Linked DNA regions of Macaca mulatta. The protein of the gene in region 2 purifies or fractionates together with the protein of the main gene of each other region. This does not show direct contact. Links are inferred from orthologs where the notes say so. Each region holds a gene or a part of one and is shown on either strand. Other genes may lie near its edges.

Region 1 (4,583 bases), on a different chromosome or scaffold from region 2:
AACCTCTCTAAGCCTCAGTGTCCTCATCTATAAAATGGGACCAATCATAGCATCCACTTCTGAGAACTGTTCAGAAGTGGAATGGAAATGAGCCAGTTTAGGTGGCTGTGTCTGGCATACACCAATGGTTTGATACGTATTAGCTTGTGCCTTTATTGGGCCAACTCCTTTTTGTTAGGTGACTGAGAAACCAAGGCCCTTCTGATCTTTATTCATCGTTCATTATTAGTTTAAATTTGTTGCTCTTCCATCCACATGATTCATTCCAAATCCTAAGTGTTGGAGAAAGGGAGTTAGTGTGTCATAGAAAAATCTCTGTTTTGGCCCAGCAGGACTGAGTTTGACTCCATGGAACTGTTTGAGCCTTAGTTTCTTCATCCATAACATGGGAGAACAATACCCTGAATTGCTGCAAGAATTAGAGATAGTTCATGTCAAGGTGTAACATACAGGTAATATGTTACTTCTGGTGTTCTGGTTATAAAATGTACAAGATGTGCAAGCAAAAGGGCAGAAAACCCTTTTTAAAAATTCATGGCTGGGTGTAGTGGCTCACACCTGTAATCCCAGAACTTTGGGAGGCCGAGGTGGGTGGATCACCTGAGGTTATGAGTTTGAGACCAGCCTGACCAACATGGAGAAACCCTGTCTCTACTAAAAATCCAAAATTAGCCACGCATGGTGGTGCATGCCTGTAATCCCAGCTACCCAGGAGGCTGAGGCAGGAGAATCACTTGAACCCGGGAGGCGGAGGTTGCTGTGAGCCGAGATGGCGCCATTGCACTCCAGCCTGGGTAACAAGAGCGAAAATCCATCCCAAAAAAAAGAAAAAAAAAATTCACATGGGAAACAGAGGCGGATGGCAGAGAACAGGGGAGTGGCTGGGCACGGTGGCTCATGCCTCTAATCCTAGCACTTTGGGAGGCCAAGGTGGGTGAATTCCTTGAGGTCAGGAGTTCGAGACCAGTCTGACCAACATGGTGAAAACCCGTCTCTACTGAAAATACAAAAATTAGCCAGGCGTGGTGGTGGGTGCCTGTAGTCCCAGCTACTTGGGAGGCTGAGAGGCAGGAGAATCACTTCAACCCAGGAGGTGGAGGTTGCAGTGAGCCAAGACCGCACCACTGTACTGTTACACGGACAACAGACTGAGACTCCATCTCAAAAAAAAAAAAAAAAAAAAAAAAAAGAGAACAAGGGAGGGTCTGGGGTTCAGAGCTTTGGGGAACAGACCTCAGTAGCACCAACACTCCAGGATCAATGCTACAAAGACACGGGTTACAACTAAACTGGAGAACATGGCCAAAGAAGGGAACTGAAGTGTCCTGGCTCAGCCCTATTTAGGGCTGTTTAGCTCTGTTTAGGGCTGAGCCAAGTAGGGCTGAGTCAGAACACTTCCTCCTTTTTTTGTGAACAGTCTACCTACATTTCAGCTACAGGGGTGGCTTCACCCAGTCCGTAGGGAGGGAGGAGAGGGCTGGTCTATGACTTCAGTGCTGAGGTTTGGATCAAGGCAGAGGGAAACTTCCTCTTCCCAGACCCTTTGCAAGGAAGAATGGCATATTACTTGTCACCGACAGGGGTTATGATTACTAAATGGAGTCAGTATAAATGCTTTCCAATAAAGCACGTCCAGCGCTCGGGGTTTTAGTTTTGCATGTCCATGAAATGTCTGCCACCTCCCTCTTCTGAATGGTTGGAAATTGGGCATCTGTTCCTTTAAATAGGAAACATTTCTTGTTCGGGTGAGTCATCTCTGTTCTGCTTTAGGAGTAAAATTTACCCTGCAGTTCATTCTGCTGTGAAGTTTTCTCTTTCTCTTGGAGACCAGGTTCTGCCCTTCTGCTGGAGGGAAGTGTTTTCACAGGTTCTCCTCCTTTTATCTCTTGTGTTTTTTTTTCAAGCCTCCTGAATTTGCTAGTCAACTCAACAGGAAGTGAGGCGGTGGAGGGAGGCAGAAGAGCCAGGGTGGTTACTGAAAGTAAAAGAAACTTCTTCCTGGGAGCCTGTCCCACCCCCTTCCCCACTGAGCACGTGGAGTTAGGCAGGTTAGGGGGCTCAGAGACTGCGATGGTGCCAGGAAAGGGTGGAGCGGGTGAGTGCCTGTTGCCGAGGTGGCCTCTTCAACAGGAAACCACATATTTTTGTTTCTTGAGTTGCTCTAGAAACAGGGCTGTGGGGGCGGGGAAGAAGCTTGGATCTGCCCGGCTGAGGACACCTCTGGGTGCTGCCTGGCCAGGTCTCCTGTGGGGTTTCTCTCTGAGCTGTTGCCTCTGATCTTGCTACTTTTTCACTCTGAGCAGTCTCCATTTCCTCTGCTGCCTTTTTGTCCTCCCAGCTTCCCTACTGCCTGGAATACAGATACACGGTCTCCCTCCTGTGAACCCGTTTGGAGAGTCCAGAAAACTTTATCAATCCACTTTTTTTTTCTTTTTCATTTGGCTCTGGGGCCGAGGGTTAAGTTCTTTATTCTGTCGAATCACAGTGCCCTGAGGTGCACAGACCGCTTACCCCTCTTCCGTGTCTTAAGGGTTTCCTTTTATGTCTCCACCCCCACCCCTGCCCTCCTGCCCTCTCTCTTGCTCCCCAAAGATAATTCTCTAATGTTTTGATGTGGATTCGTGAATTTATCTGTATCTTTGCAAAATGTATTTTTCTTTTGTATATGTACACTGTTTTTTAACTATGCCATCTCAGGCAAGTAAGTAATTCCTCTGTACCTCTGTTATCTCATTGTTAAATGGGATTAATAATGCCTTGAGAGGTGACTGTGAGGCTTGAAGGAGATAATACGCACACATCACTTACTACATGAGTTAGCAATTATTATTGCATATTAATACTATTGGCATTTTATTTTACTCATTCTGTTTCTATTTCTTTTTTATTTATTTATTTTTTGAGACAAGATCTTGCTTTGTCACCCAAGGCTGGAGTGCAGTGGTGCAATCATGGCTCACTGTAGCCTCGACATCTTGGGATCAAGCAATGTTCCCATCTCAGCCTTCAGATTAACTGGGACCACAGTCGTGTGCTACCACACCTGGCTAATTCAAAAATTTTTCTTCATAGAGATGGTGTCTCACTATGTTGCCCAGGCTGGTCTCAAACTCCTACGCTCAAGGGATCCTCCCGCCTTGGCCTCCCAAAGTGCTAGGATTACAGGCATGAGCCACTGTGGCCATCCAGGCATTGATGTTATCAGGCCACCTTGACCTAGCCCTCTCTGGTGAAGAGTCCTTTTCAGATACTTCATTCAGTCTTCTCAGCTATGAGTCCCTGCCCTCTGAAAGCTTATATTCTATTTGGGGAAAGACAAAAGGCAGTTTCAAAGAAGAGAGGTGCTTGATTTTCTTTTCCTACTTTTAACATCAGAAAACATTTCGTCTAACTCTCAGTATGAAGGCAATCTTTTGTTTACTGATCTGTCCCTAGAGCCCAACATGGTGAGGGCCCCAGGATTTGCCTCTTTGATAAGATGGTAAACCCATCTTGTGGCTAACTTCGTGGTGTCCCCAGCTACACTCATATACAAGGATCACCTTTGGTAAGATAGGGTTACCATCTTACCAAAGAGTTTTTGCATTTTAGAGGTTTTTCTTTTTAGATTTTTTTCATTTTAGAATTTTTTTATTTCAGAGTTTTTTTCTTTTTAGAGGTTTTTCATTTTAGAGTTTTTTCTTTTTTAGAGTTTTTTTTTTTTTTTTTTTTTTTTTTTTTTTTTTTTTAGAGTTTTTTAGGCGGCTGAGAGTGGAATCTGGTGACTTGGGGCCACAGAGATGCTCCTTGGCTAAACCAGGGGCTTTAGCTCTGAACGTTCACAGTCACCCTGAGAACCAAGATGAGGGCTCTGCGATGTCCAATCTCAAGACTTCTCCGAGGTGCTCCATCAAGATTCATTGAATGAAAAAATTAAAGTCTTAATGATGAACCCAGAAAAATCTTTAAATCCTAAATACGAAATGAAAGTGTTCTTAGTTACAATCCAGTCCAACGTCCTCATTTTGGAATGTGGAAATGAGGCCCCAAAGGTAAAATGGCCCATCATAGCCAGGGGCCAGTGCTCAGGTGGCCAGATGCCCCGCCCCACCCTGCAGGCAGTCTCTTGGACCATCAGGCCTTTTTCCTCCAGCTTTAGAAGCTTTAGAAGGTGCTCTGTTCACTCAGGGGCAAGTGGTAAGCGTTCCCTCCCCTCTAGTGTTTGTGACTTAGGAGTTTCGAAACAGGAAGTACAGCTGGCTGTGCCCTTCATCCTTCATTAGATGTTTGCTCTTGTCTTAGATGCTCAGATGGCAGTGGAGAGGCCTGTAACAAAGGTGTTACCATCGTGAGAGTAAGGTAAGGATTTGCCCCTTTGTTAAGGTCAGAGGGGCCTTTTGGGAGAAGGCCTTTGATTCTGGAGTTTTTTAGGCTGCTGAGAGTGAGGTTGGGTGGCCCTGGGGCTATGGAGGTGATCCTCATATGTGAGTGTGGATGGGAAACCATGAAGTTAGTGGAAGAGGTAGCAGTCCCTCTGAGAGCCTTGCCGAGGGCCGTGCAGTTTCCAGATCTTGAGGCCAGTCTGGCTTAGACTGATTAAGTGC
Region 2 (4,634 bases):
CGATACTCCAGAGAATATTGACACATGGACATATGATACATACAAGGGTTCTCACTACAATGCTGCTGGAATTAGTAAAAACAAAGGCAGGACATAATGTTAACAATTGCCCATAGGATGGAAGATTAAAATCAACTGTGGTTCACCCCATGTGTTTCACCCATGCACTAAATATTATGATGCTGTTAAAGAAAATGAGATACATGCATGGACTGATAGAAAACATCTGATGTGATTTGTTGTTCAGTCAGAATTTTTAAAAGCTAAAGTACCTATAAATGCACAGGAAGAAGGCTGATGGATGGTGGGATGAGAGGGTCCTGTGGGATGGAAGAAGGCCTTGGTGTCTGCTATGGGTCCTTTGTCCCTGCCAGGTCTCATGTTGAAATCTGAACCCCAATGTAGCTGGTGGGGCCTGTTGGGGTTTGGGGTGGATCCCTCATGAAAGGCTTGGTGCCATACCTGCCCCCTCCCACATTCCCCCAGGAGTTGTCACTCTTAGTTTCCATGAGAGCTGGCTGTTAGGATGAACCTGGCCCCTCCCGCTCCCCTTTCAGAAATCATCCCCCTCCCCCTGCCATTCTCCCCACCCCCTTCCCTGATGGGCAGAATCCAGCTGTCCTTCCCCTTCACCACCAGTGGAAGTTTCCTGAGGCCTCACCAGAAGCAGATGCTGGTGTCATGCTTCTTGTACAGCCTGCAGAATCATGTGTCAAATAAACCTCTTTATAAATTATCCAGCCTCAAGTATTTTTTTATAGCCACACAAACGCACTGTCACATTTCCAAAACCACCAAATTCAGATGTTTGACCTTGTCTACACAGGTGAGCCCTACATCCACCTGGAATCGCACTAGCCTGTCAAAAAGAAAGCCATTTAATAAGCGTATTAAAAATAAGCATCAACCGTGGGTTCCACCTAATATAAACTGATGTTTAAAACATAAATTCTGTAATTATTTGGAGATTACAAAATGCTATTGGTTTCCTGGATTTTGTTTAGTTTGTTAAACAAAAACACTTAAAATTTACCGACACTTGTAAGACTGGTTTATCTTTGAGGTAATTTGGCTTTTGTTTTGTTTTTCCTTAACATAGAAGGAATCTGAAAGAGAACAATTGATAGAGACTTAATGAACTTGAAAGAGAACTGAAGGTATTGGCATTTTTCCAGACTGAGTGATTGCTTTCACAGGAAACGCTGCCTCCTGAAGGAAGGGCGTGCCCCGGTCTTGGCTGCCTGCCTGGTGGTCAATTCACTGCCCTGTACCTGTTGATGTGCAAGAAAGTGGCTGGCAGGAAACTGCTGCCGGTGTGTTTAGTGGACTCGAAACGGAAGAAACAAGCAGCGGAGAGAAAGTTACTTTTTCTGCCGGGCTGCGTGTTTAACCGATTTGTCTAAGAAAAGAAGGATGGAGGGCCCGGCGCGGTGGCTCACGCCTGTAATCCCAGCACTTTGGGAGGCCGAGGCGGGCGGATTTGGCTAACACGGTGAAACCCCGTCTCTACCAAAAACACAAAAAATTAGCCGGGCGTGGTGGCGGGCGCCTGTAGTCCCAGCTCCTCGGGAGGCTGAGGCAGGAGAATCGCTTGAACCCGGAAGGCGGAGGTTGCAGTGAGCCGAGATCGCGCCAACGCACTCCAGCCTGGGCGACAGAGCGAGACTCCGTTTCAAAAAAAAAAGAGAGAGAGAGAGAGAGAGAAAAGAAGGATGGGGGTGGGGAGGGAATGAGGGAGTGGGGAGGAGAATGGTGCTCCCCATTCACGCAGCCGGTGTGGCTCGGAGGTGGCTTGGAAGTTTACACACTTGAGCTCTATCGATTCTGAAACGTCCCGATACATCTTGAAGTGTGGGGAGCAGGGAGCCGCGCTAGGCAGCGGCCAACGTGGTGGAGTCCCCGGACCCAGACTCTTGCGGGAGGGGGCTCTGCTCCCTCCAGGCCCCGGCCGCTCCTGCCTGGCCCCGGGGACCCCGCTCTTCCTCGGACTTCGACGACGGACTCCTCTGCCCGGACATGCCCCGCCACAAGTGACCAGGGCCAGGCACCCCCGCCGTGTCCCCCTCTCTCCCTGCCCCCTCCCGGTGCCAGGCGCGCTTTTCCCCAGGCAGGACCGCGATGGGGACTCACCTGCAGCAGGACCCCGACGACGACAAACTTGAGGGTCTTGTGGACCCGGAGCCCAGGGCTGGCTCCCTGCGCCGACCTGGGTCCTACGACGCGCCCTGCCCGGGCCTGGGCACTGGGTCCCTGCTGTCCCATAGAGGTAGGGAGCGCTCCTCGGCCCCCGCCCCGCGGTTCAATCCTCCCCGCGGAAGAGCCCCACACTTTGCTGGGTGTGGCTGTGGCTGCCTCTGTCCCACTCGCTGCGCTCCCCGGATTCGGAGTCACTGCCAGGAACGCGCCCAGCTTTACTCCAGCTGGTGGTGGCGCCATCCTGCCAGGTCAATCTAAGAAGCAGCGTGCTTGGCTGTGATAAGACAGAAGTTCGCATTCGGAGTTCAGGGCACCCCTGACCCCGCCCCCTTTTCGGGGCACCTGCGGCTCCTGTTGGCCAACCCTGAACTTCCTTCCTCTGTGACCGCCCTCGCCGCCCTCGCCGCCCTCAGCTTCTGTTCCTCAAACACGGCCGCCGCGTGGATGCTGCTGCATTCGGAGTCGTTTTGCTACTGTCAAAACGACTGGTCCCAGCGCAAGGCTTCTCGGTCGGGAGTCGACCTCAGTCTCTCCGTGGCCGGATTCCTGGCTACTAGCAGGCACTCGGTGGACGGATGGGTAGCGGAATGAAGGGCACAGAGGCCGCCACCGCGGAATCTGGCCTCTAAGAGGCTTCTACGGCCTCTTCCGTCACTACCGGGCGAGTGATTCATCCTGCGTTTTTTTTTTTGTTTTTTTTTTTTTTTAATGGAGTCTAGCTCTGTCGCCTAGCTGGAGTGCAGTGGCCCGATCTCGGCTCACTGCAACCTCCGCCTCCCGGGTTCAAGCGATTTTCCTGCCTCAGCCTCCTGAGTAACTGGGATTACAGGCGCCCGCCACCACGCCCAGCTAAGTTTTGTATTTTTAGTAGAGACGAGGTTTCACTGTTTTGGCCAGGCTGGTCTCGAACTCCTGACCTCGTGATCCGCCCTCCTTGGCCACCCAAAGTGCTGGGATTACAAGCGTGAGCCACCGAGCCCGGCGCATCCTGCTATTGGTCTCAGGTTTCCATGCCAGTGAAATGTCACCTCAACTCCACTGTCCCTGGTGTCAGGCAAGCCCGAGGGACCCAATTCTGCCTTTCCTCTGGATTTTCCTAACCTGTTAAAGAGTCTTGAGAGTTCTTAAACCATGGGGGACTACCTGGTGCATGACAGGGATGCGACTTGGCGGCAGTCCCACGTGGAGGCAGGTCCTTTCCAGCAGTTCCTCCGCACCCAGCGCTTCGCGGGCCCAGGGAGCGGAAAATCAGCCTCCCGAAAGCCAGGCGAGTCACGGTCCTGCCTGCGAAGGGTTCCCAGGGCGACCTTGGGGCTGAGGAGTGGGTAAGAGAAAGGGGACGCTGATTGATATTCATTTTTCTCCATATTTTACCGAGTTCCGGTACTATTTGTTGAAAATACTTTCTTTTCGGCCGGGCGCGGTGGCTCACACCTGTAATCCCAGCACTTTGGGAGGCCAATGTGGGCGGATCACGAGGTCAGGAGTTTGAGACCAGCCTGACCAGCATGCTTAAACCCTGTCTCTACTAAAAATACAAAAGAAACCAAATTGGCCGGGCATGGTGGCGCATGCCTGTAATCCCAGCCACTCAGGAGGCTGAGGCAGGAGAACTGCTTGAACCCAGAAGGTGGAAGTTGCAGTGAGCAGAGATCGAGCCACTGCACTCCAGCCTGAGCAACAGAGGGACTCTCCGTCTAAAAAAAAAAAAAGAAAAGAAAAAGAAATTTTATCCTTTGACACCAATAGCTACAGGACACAGTAAACACTCCCTAACTGCTAGTCAGATAAAAATAAAACCTCCCACTAAAAGTTCTGTTTCACTCAATTCCTTTTATCCAATCCATCATGTTCATAAAACAGGAAATAAACAGAATTGAAGGGAGAAATTTACACTACTGTAATAATAGTTGGAGACTTCAATTGTCTCACTTTCAAAAATAGAACAATCAGAATGAAGATAAATAAGGACGTAGAGTACTTGGACATCACTATATACTAATGGAAACTAAAAGACATAAAAAACAGTTCACCACAAACAGAAGCATTCAATTTTTCTCAAAGATACATGGAATATTCTCCAGGATAAACCATAAGTTAGACCACAGAGTAATTCTTTATAAATTTAAAATAACTGAAATTAAAACTTCTGATCACAATATGACACTAGAAATCAACATCAGAAGGAAAAGAGTAAACTCACACATGTAGAAATCAAGCTTTTAAATAACCAACGAGTCAAAGAGGATCTCATATGAGAAATTAGAAAAGATCTGGAGATAAGTGAAGCAAAAACCACAACATACTAAAACTTCCGGGATGCAGTAAAAGCAGTGCTAAGAGGACATGTTATCATGGTAAATGCTTATATCAAAGAGGAAAAAAGATCTAAAATAAACAATGTACACATTAAGAAACTAGCAAAGGAAGAATAAACT
Region 3 (4,454 bases), on a different chromosome or scaffold from region 2:
AAGATGGAGAGATTAAAAAAAAAAAGGTTGGGGGTGAATATGGGGTGAAAGTAATGGAGAAAAAGAGCTAAAGTCTCCTCTTGTGTCTCAGCACTCCACCCAAGGTAGAGCCTCTGAATGGAAGAAGGACTTTGCCACCTCTCCACCACACTTCCCCAGGATTTAGCTTCAGCATCAGGTAGCTAGGGGCAAGATGAGAAATGCTGACATGCTGGTCTCTGACTGGGAGCTGTGGGAAGACAGAGGTTCTTAGTTGCAGCCGTCTGGAGTGGAGTCTGTCTTGCTGCACAAAGGCAGAGGTTTGCTTTAAATACCACAAACTCTCACATTCTGATGCAAGAATTTTTATAGATTTTTTGGAATACATGTTTCTTCATTTGCTGTTTGCCCTTAGGACCATTTCAGACGCTTAAAATAGTTAATGGTTGTTTGTTGTTTTAAATAATTTTCAGTTTCACTAGGGGTGAATCCTGAGCTCTTCATGCCGTCCTGCAGTTAGTCTCTCTTGGTATTATTCTTCACCTTTCCTGTGAGTTTAAAATTATTTCAAGAAAAGTTAAAGCTTTTTAAGAATCACAATAAAGTAGATAGATAATAGGAATAAATAAAAACTTAGCGGGGCGCGGTGACTGACGCCTGTAATCCCAGCACTTTGGGAGGCCGAGGCGGGCGAGGATCACTTGAGGCCAGGAGTTGGAGACCAGCCTAGCCAACATGGTGAAACCCTAAAATTAGTCGGGCATGATGGCCTGTGCCTGTGGTCCCAGCTACTCGGGTGGCTGAGGGGGTTGGATGGCTTGGGCGCAGGAAGTCCAGGCTGCAGTGAGCCGTGATGGCGCCACTGCCTTCTAGCCTCGGCGACAGCGCGAGACCCTGTCTCAAGAAGGAAAACAAAAAACAACATACACACAAAAAAACCACAAAGTGCGTTCACGTTTGCTATGACTCCCAGACATCAAATCATAAACACTCGCGCCTGGCTGGGTGGCTCACGCCTGTAATCCCAGCAGTTTGGGAGGCCGAGGCGAGCGGATCACAAGGTCAGGAGTTCGAGACCATCCTGGCCAACAGTGAAACCCCGTCTCTAATAAACACAAAAATTAGCCGGGAGTGGTGGTGCGCGCCTGTAGTTCCAGCTACTCGGGGGGCTGAGGCAAGAGAATAGCTTGAACTAGGGAGGCGGATGTTGCAGTGAGCTGAAATTGCGCCACTGCACTCCAGCCTGGGCCGCACAGTGAGACTCCGTCTCAAAAAAGAAGAAAGCAAGCAAGCAAAAAAAAAAAAAAAACCCCAAAAAACCTCGCAGTGTTTACTCCTAACGCGTGGAACTTATGTCGACATCCACCCTCGGTTACTGCATACTCAGTCACACAAGCCAAAGCAGGAAACAGCGAGTTGGCAGCCTCACCGACGAGTCTCAACTAAAAAGGACTCCCGGAGCTAGGGATGGGGACTCGGCCTAACACAGTGAGTGCCGGCTATTGGACTTTTGTCCAGTGACAGCTGAGGCAAAGCCCAGGGCTATCCAAAGACCACGGGAGGGGGTGTGGGAGAGAAGCGCTGCGAACAGCCATCGCCCAGCACCGAGTCCGCTTCCGAGTCCGCTTCCAGGCTTTCGGTTTCTTTGCCTCCATCTTGCGTGCGCCTTTCGGGCGTCTAGGGGAGCTAAGGCTGAGGTGTCAGCGGCAGGAGAGTCCGGCCGCGACAGGACGGTACGTGCCCCACGCTCTACCCCCCGCCGGCGGCGCCGGAGCTGTCCCAGACCCCAAGCCCCGACGCCCGGCCCTGAGTCAGCGTTGCAGCAGGCCCTGAGCCGCCGCGCGCCCACGCGCCCACGTCCCACTCCTGCCGCTCCTCACAGCCCTGCGCTCCGGGAAACTGCAGGTGGCCGGCAGTGGCCAGGGGATGGCGGGGGCGCTTCTGGAACCTGACTCAGTTTTGTAGATTTCTTATCTCGGTTGTTTACCGCGGGCTGAGCGGAATGCCCCCGCTTCCGCTTCCGCCCCGCTCCGAAACCCCGAACCCTTTCTGCTGGCAACTCCGCCCCGGATTCCCAAAAAGGGGCGACCTGGGCCACTGCGGTCCGAGCTTCACCCCAATGGACCTGAGAGACCGGAAGTAAACCTTGGCTAACTCTAGCCGCCCCCTGCAGCCGCAACCGCAGAGGCCCACCCGCGAGCTTCAGTGGCGGGTCCTCAGCGTTGTGTAAACTTTGCTTAAAATGATCTTGAGAGTTCAATTCTTGGAGTGAACTGTTGAGAAGATCTGGCACTTTTCCTTTCGAAAGTTGTTGGGAACGTGGACTTTCCCAACAGTTGTGTGTGCGTTCGACCTCACTCAGTGGGAGCCGCCGCCCTGTAGGGAATTTAACAATAGCCTAGTCAGGGCTGTTATTTTCCAGAGCAGTTTAATATCTATTTTGCCCAAGTGCAAGGAAAGCTTGCCTTGGAAAAGCTGGGAATGCCTGACTGAAGAAACGTTTTTAGAGCCTTTTAAAATGAACCTGTTTCTGCCATTTTTCCACCGCTTCAAAAGGACTGGGAAATGTAAAATGACTTCAAGATGTTCTTACTTGAGAGTGTCCGGATTTGGACAGAAGGCCATGTTCTTTTAATATTAACAGTGGCACGCAGTAGAACAAAGGCCACTGAAATTCAGAATTAGTTTTTGGCTCCACGGAGTAGGAAGTAAATTCAAGGACGCCAGAGGTCTTACGAATGTTTTAATTGGTTGACATTTGAAATTTGTTCTTAAGCAATGAGGGGTGAAACCAGTAGGGGGTTAGCATATAGCATAAGTAAAGCGTTTTGAATATCAACAAACTGCAATAATCTAGAACTGAGAGCGGGCTCTGGAAGGTTTGACCTGCTTTAGAGAGAGATTTCAGATAAGAAGAACGGAGTTTTTGGCCCTTTTCGGGTTGGTGATTCCCCTAAATAACCTTACAAAAGTTTTGTTTAACAAAAAACCTGGCTCGAGCTCCAAGATCTTTTTTTTTTTTTTTTTTTTTTTTTTTGAGACAGAGTTTCACTGTTGTTGCCCATGCTGGATTGCAATGGCACAGATCTCTGCTCACCGCAACCTCCGCCTCTCGGGTTCAAGCAATTCTCCTGCCTCAGCCTCTCAAGTTGCTGAGATTACAGGGATGCACCACCATGCCCTTAATTTTGTATTTTTAGTAGAGACGGGGTTTCTCCATATTGATCAGGCTGGTCTCGAACTCCCGACCTCAGGTGATCCGCCCGTCTCGGCCACCCAAAGTGCTAGGATTACAGGCGTGAGCCACCGCGCCCGGCCCAACTCCAAGATCTAAACAAAAAAGACTGGGTCGAAAGGGAGTTTTGAATGTTTACTGTTTGCTTTACATACATTTAATGTTTGTAAATGTTTGCTTTACATACATTTTCTTGTTTTGTTAATACTTGTTTTACTTACAGCTTTTGGGTCAAATGTCCTCGTTAAAATGGCTTTCTCTAGCGACTTTATGTTTTACGTTTCTGTTTGTAACTGACATTTGACCTCCTTACTTGCTTCCTTACACCGGTTACTTGCTTCCTTATACTTGCTTGCTTCCTTGTACCGGTTTCCAAGGTGAAGCCATTTGCAGGGTCGCTGGGTTTCCCCCTACCCCCGAAAGTCTTGCATGACCCGGGGTGGGCGGGATTACGTGCAGTTTTTTGAGCCTTGGGCTGGGGGCCTCCAGGAAGCTGAAACGGAAATTGCCTAGGCCCCTGGGGCATCGGAGGTCCTACCGCAGCTCCTAGTAGGTGGTGGGGGCGCACCGGCGGTCCCCACTCAGTCCTGGTGGGGCCGCACGTAACTGTCCTGAGATATGCATAAGCCCTTTGACCACGCATGGAGAATATCACCACCCAGAGACACGCGAGTGGCCCTGTGCAAGTTTCAACTGCGCGGGGGCGGGGAATTCCGCAGACAGGATTCGAGAATTTATGTCTTGTAACATTTCAGCCGGTGGGCGGCGGGGATTAGGCGTGAAGCGGTTCAGTAGGCAGAGGTTTTCGGACGCCCTCCGGCGAAGCCACCTGTTGATATATTTGACTTTCTGTCCTCGTTCCTCATCCCATCTGGAGCATTTCCAATTCTGCTTTTGCGGAGCAGCAGGTCTGAGCTTGTACGGCGAGGGTGGGAGTTGGTCCCGGCGGAGATCCAGTGGGAAGAGCCGACGGCTGCCCGGGCGTGAGTAGATGAGAATCCTGCCCGATCCCCGCCCCGGGGCTGGTGTCGCCCTGGGCTCCTGAGACGTTGGGGCACTGTCCCCCGATACTGGCAGAAAAGGATTGAGTCCTCGCTTTTGGCCCTAGGTCTCCTCCTTGAGCCTCCAGTGGACTCACAACACTCCGAGGCATATTGCTCTTTCAAATACCAGGAATGGACTCTGGGGAATGGGGCACCCTTGAAGTCTGATTATTTCTTCCCTGTAGAGCCCCAGGGGC

What was found.
Region 1: the proteins of TNFRSF10A (region 2) and CASP8 purify together in Homo sapiens (affinity purification with western blotting; 13 studies listed by BioGRID and IntAct, counting the BioPlex papers as one, with this or other methods). This does not show direct contact. The link is inferred for Macaca mulatta from reciprocal best matches to the Homo sapiens genes TNFRSF10A and CASP8.
Region 3: the proteins of TNFRSF10A (region 2) and CFLAR purify together in Homo sapiens (affinity purification with western blotting; 5 studies listed by BioGRID and IntAct, with this or other methods). This does not show direct contact. The link is inferred for Macaca mulatta from reciprocal best matches to the Homo sapiens genes TNFRSF10A and CFLAR.

The regions. Positions count from the first base shown.
Region 1 is NC_133417.1:106,371,129-106,375,711, forward strand, and holds the start of CASP8 (caspase-8), read left to right. Parts: upstream 1-1,739; 5' UTR 1,740-2,070; coding exon 2,071-2,095; intron 2,096-4,281; exon of another isoform or gene 4,282-4,338; intron 4,339-4,583. UniProt on the Homo sapiens protein: Thiol protease that plays a key role in programmed cell death by acting as a molecular switch for apoptosis, necroptosis and pyroptosis, and is required to prevent tissue damage during embryonic development and adulthood.
Region 2 is NC_133413.1:24,962,098-24,966,731, forward strand, and holds the start of TNFRSF10A (tumor necrosis factor receptor superfamily member 10A), read right to left. Parts: upstream 2,874-4,634; 5' UTR 2,437-2,873; coding exon 2,131-2,436; intron 1-2,130. UniProt on the Homo sapiens protein: Receptor for the cytotoxic ligand TNFSF10/TRAIL. The adapter molecule FADD recruits caspase-8 to the activated receptor.
Region 3 is NC_133417.1:106,216,784-106,221,237, forward strand, and holds the start of CFLAR (CASP8 and FADD-like apoptosis regulator), read left to right. Parts: upstream 1-1,358; 5' UTR 1,359-1,467; exon of another isoform or gene 1,468-2,919; intron 2,920-2,989; exon of another isoform or gene 2,990-4,197; intron 4,198-4,454. UniProt on the Homo sapiens protein: Apoptosis regulator protein which may function as a crucial link between cell survival and cell death pathways in mammalian cells. Acts as an inhibitor of TNFRSF6 mediated apoptosis.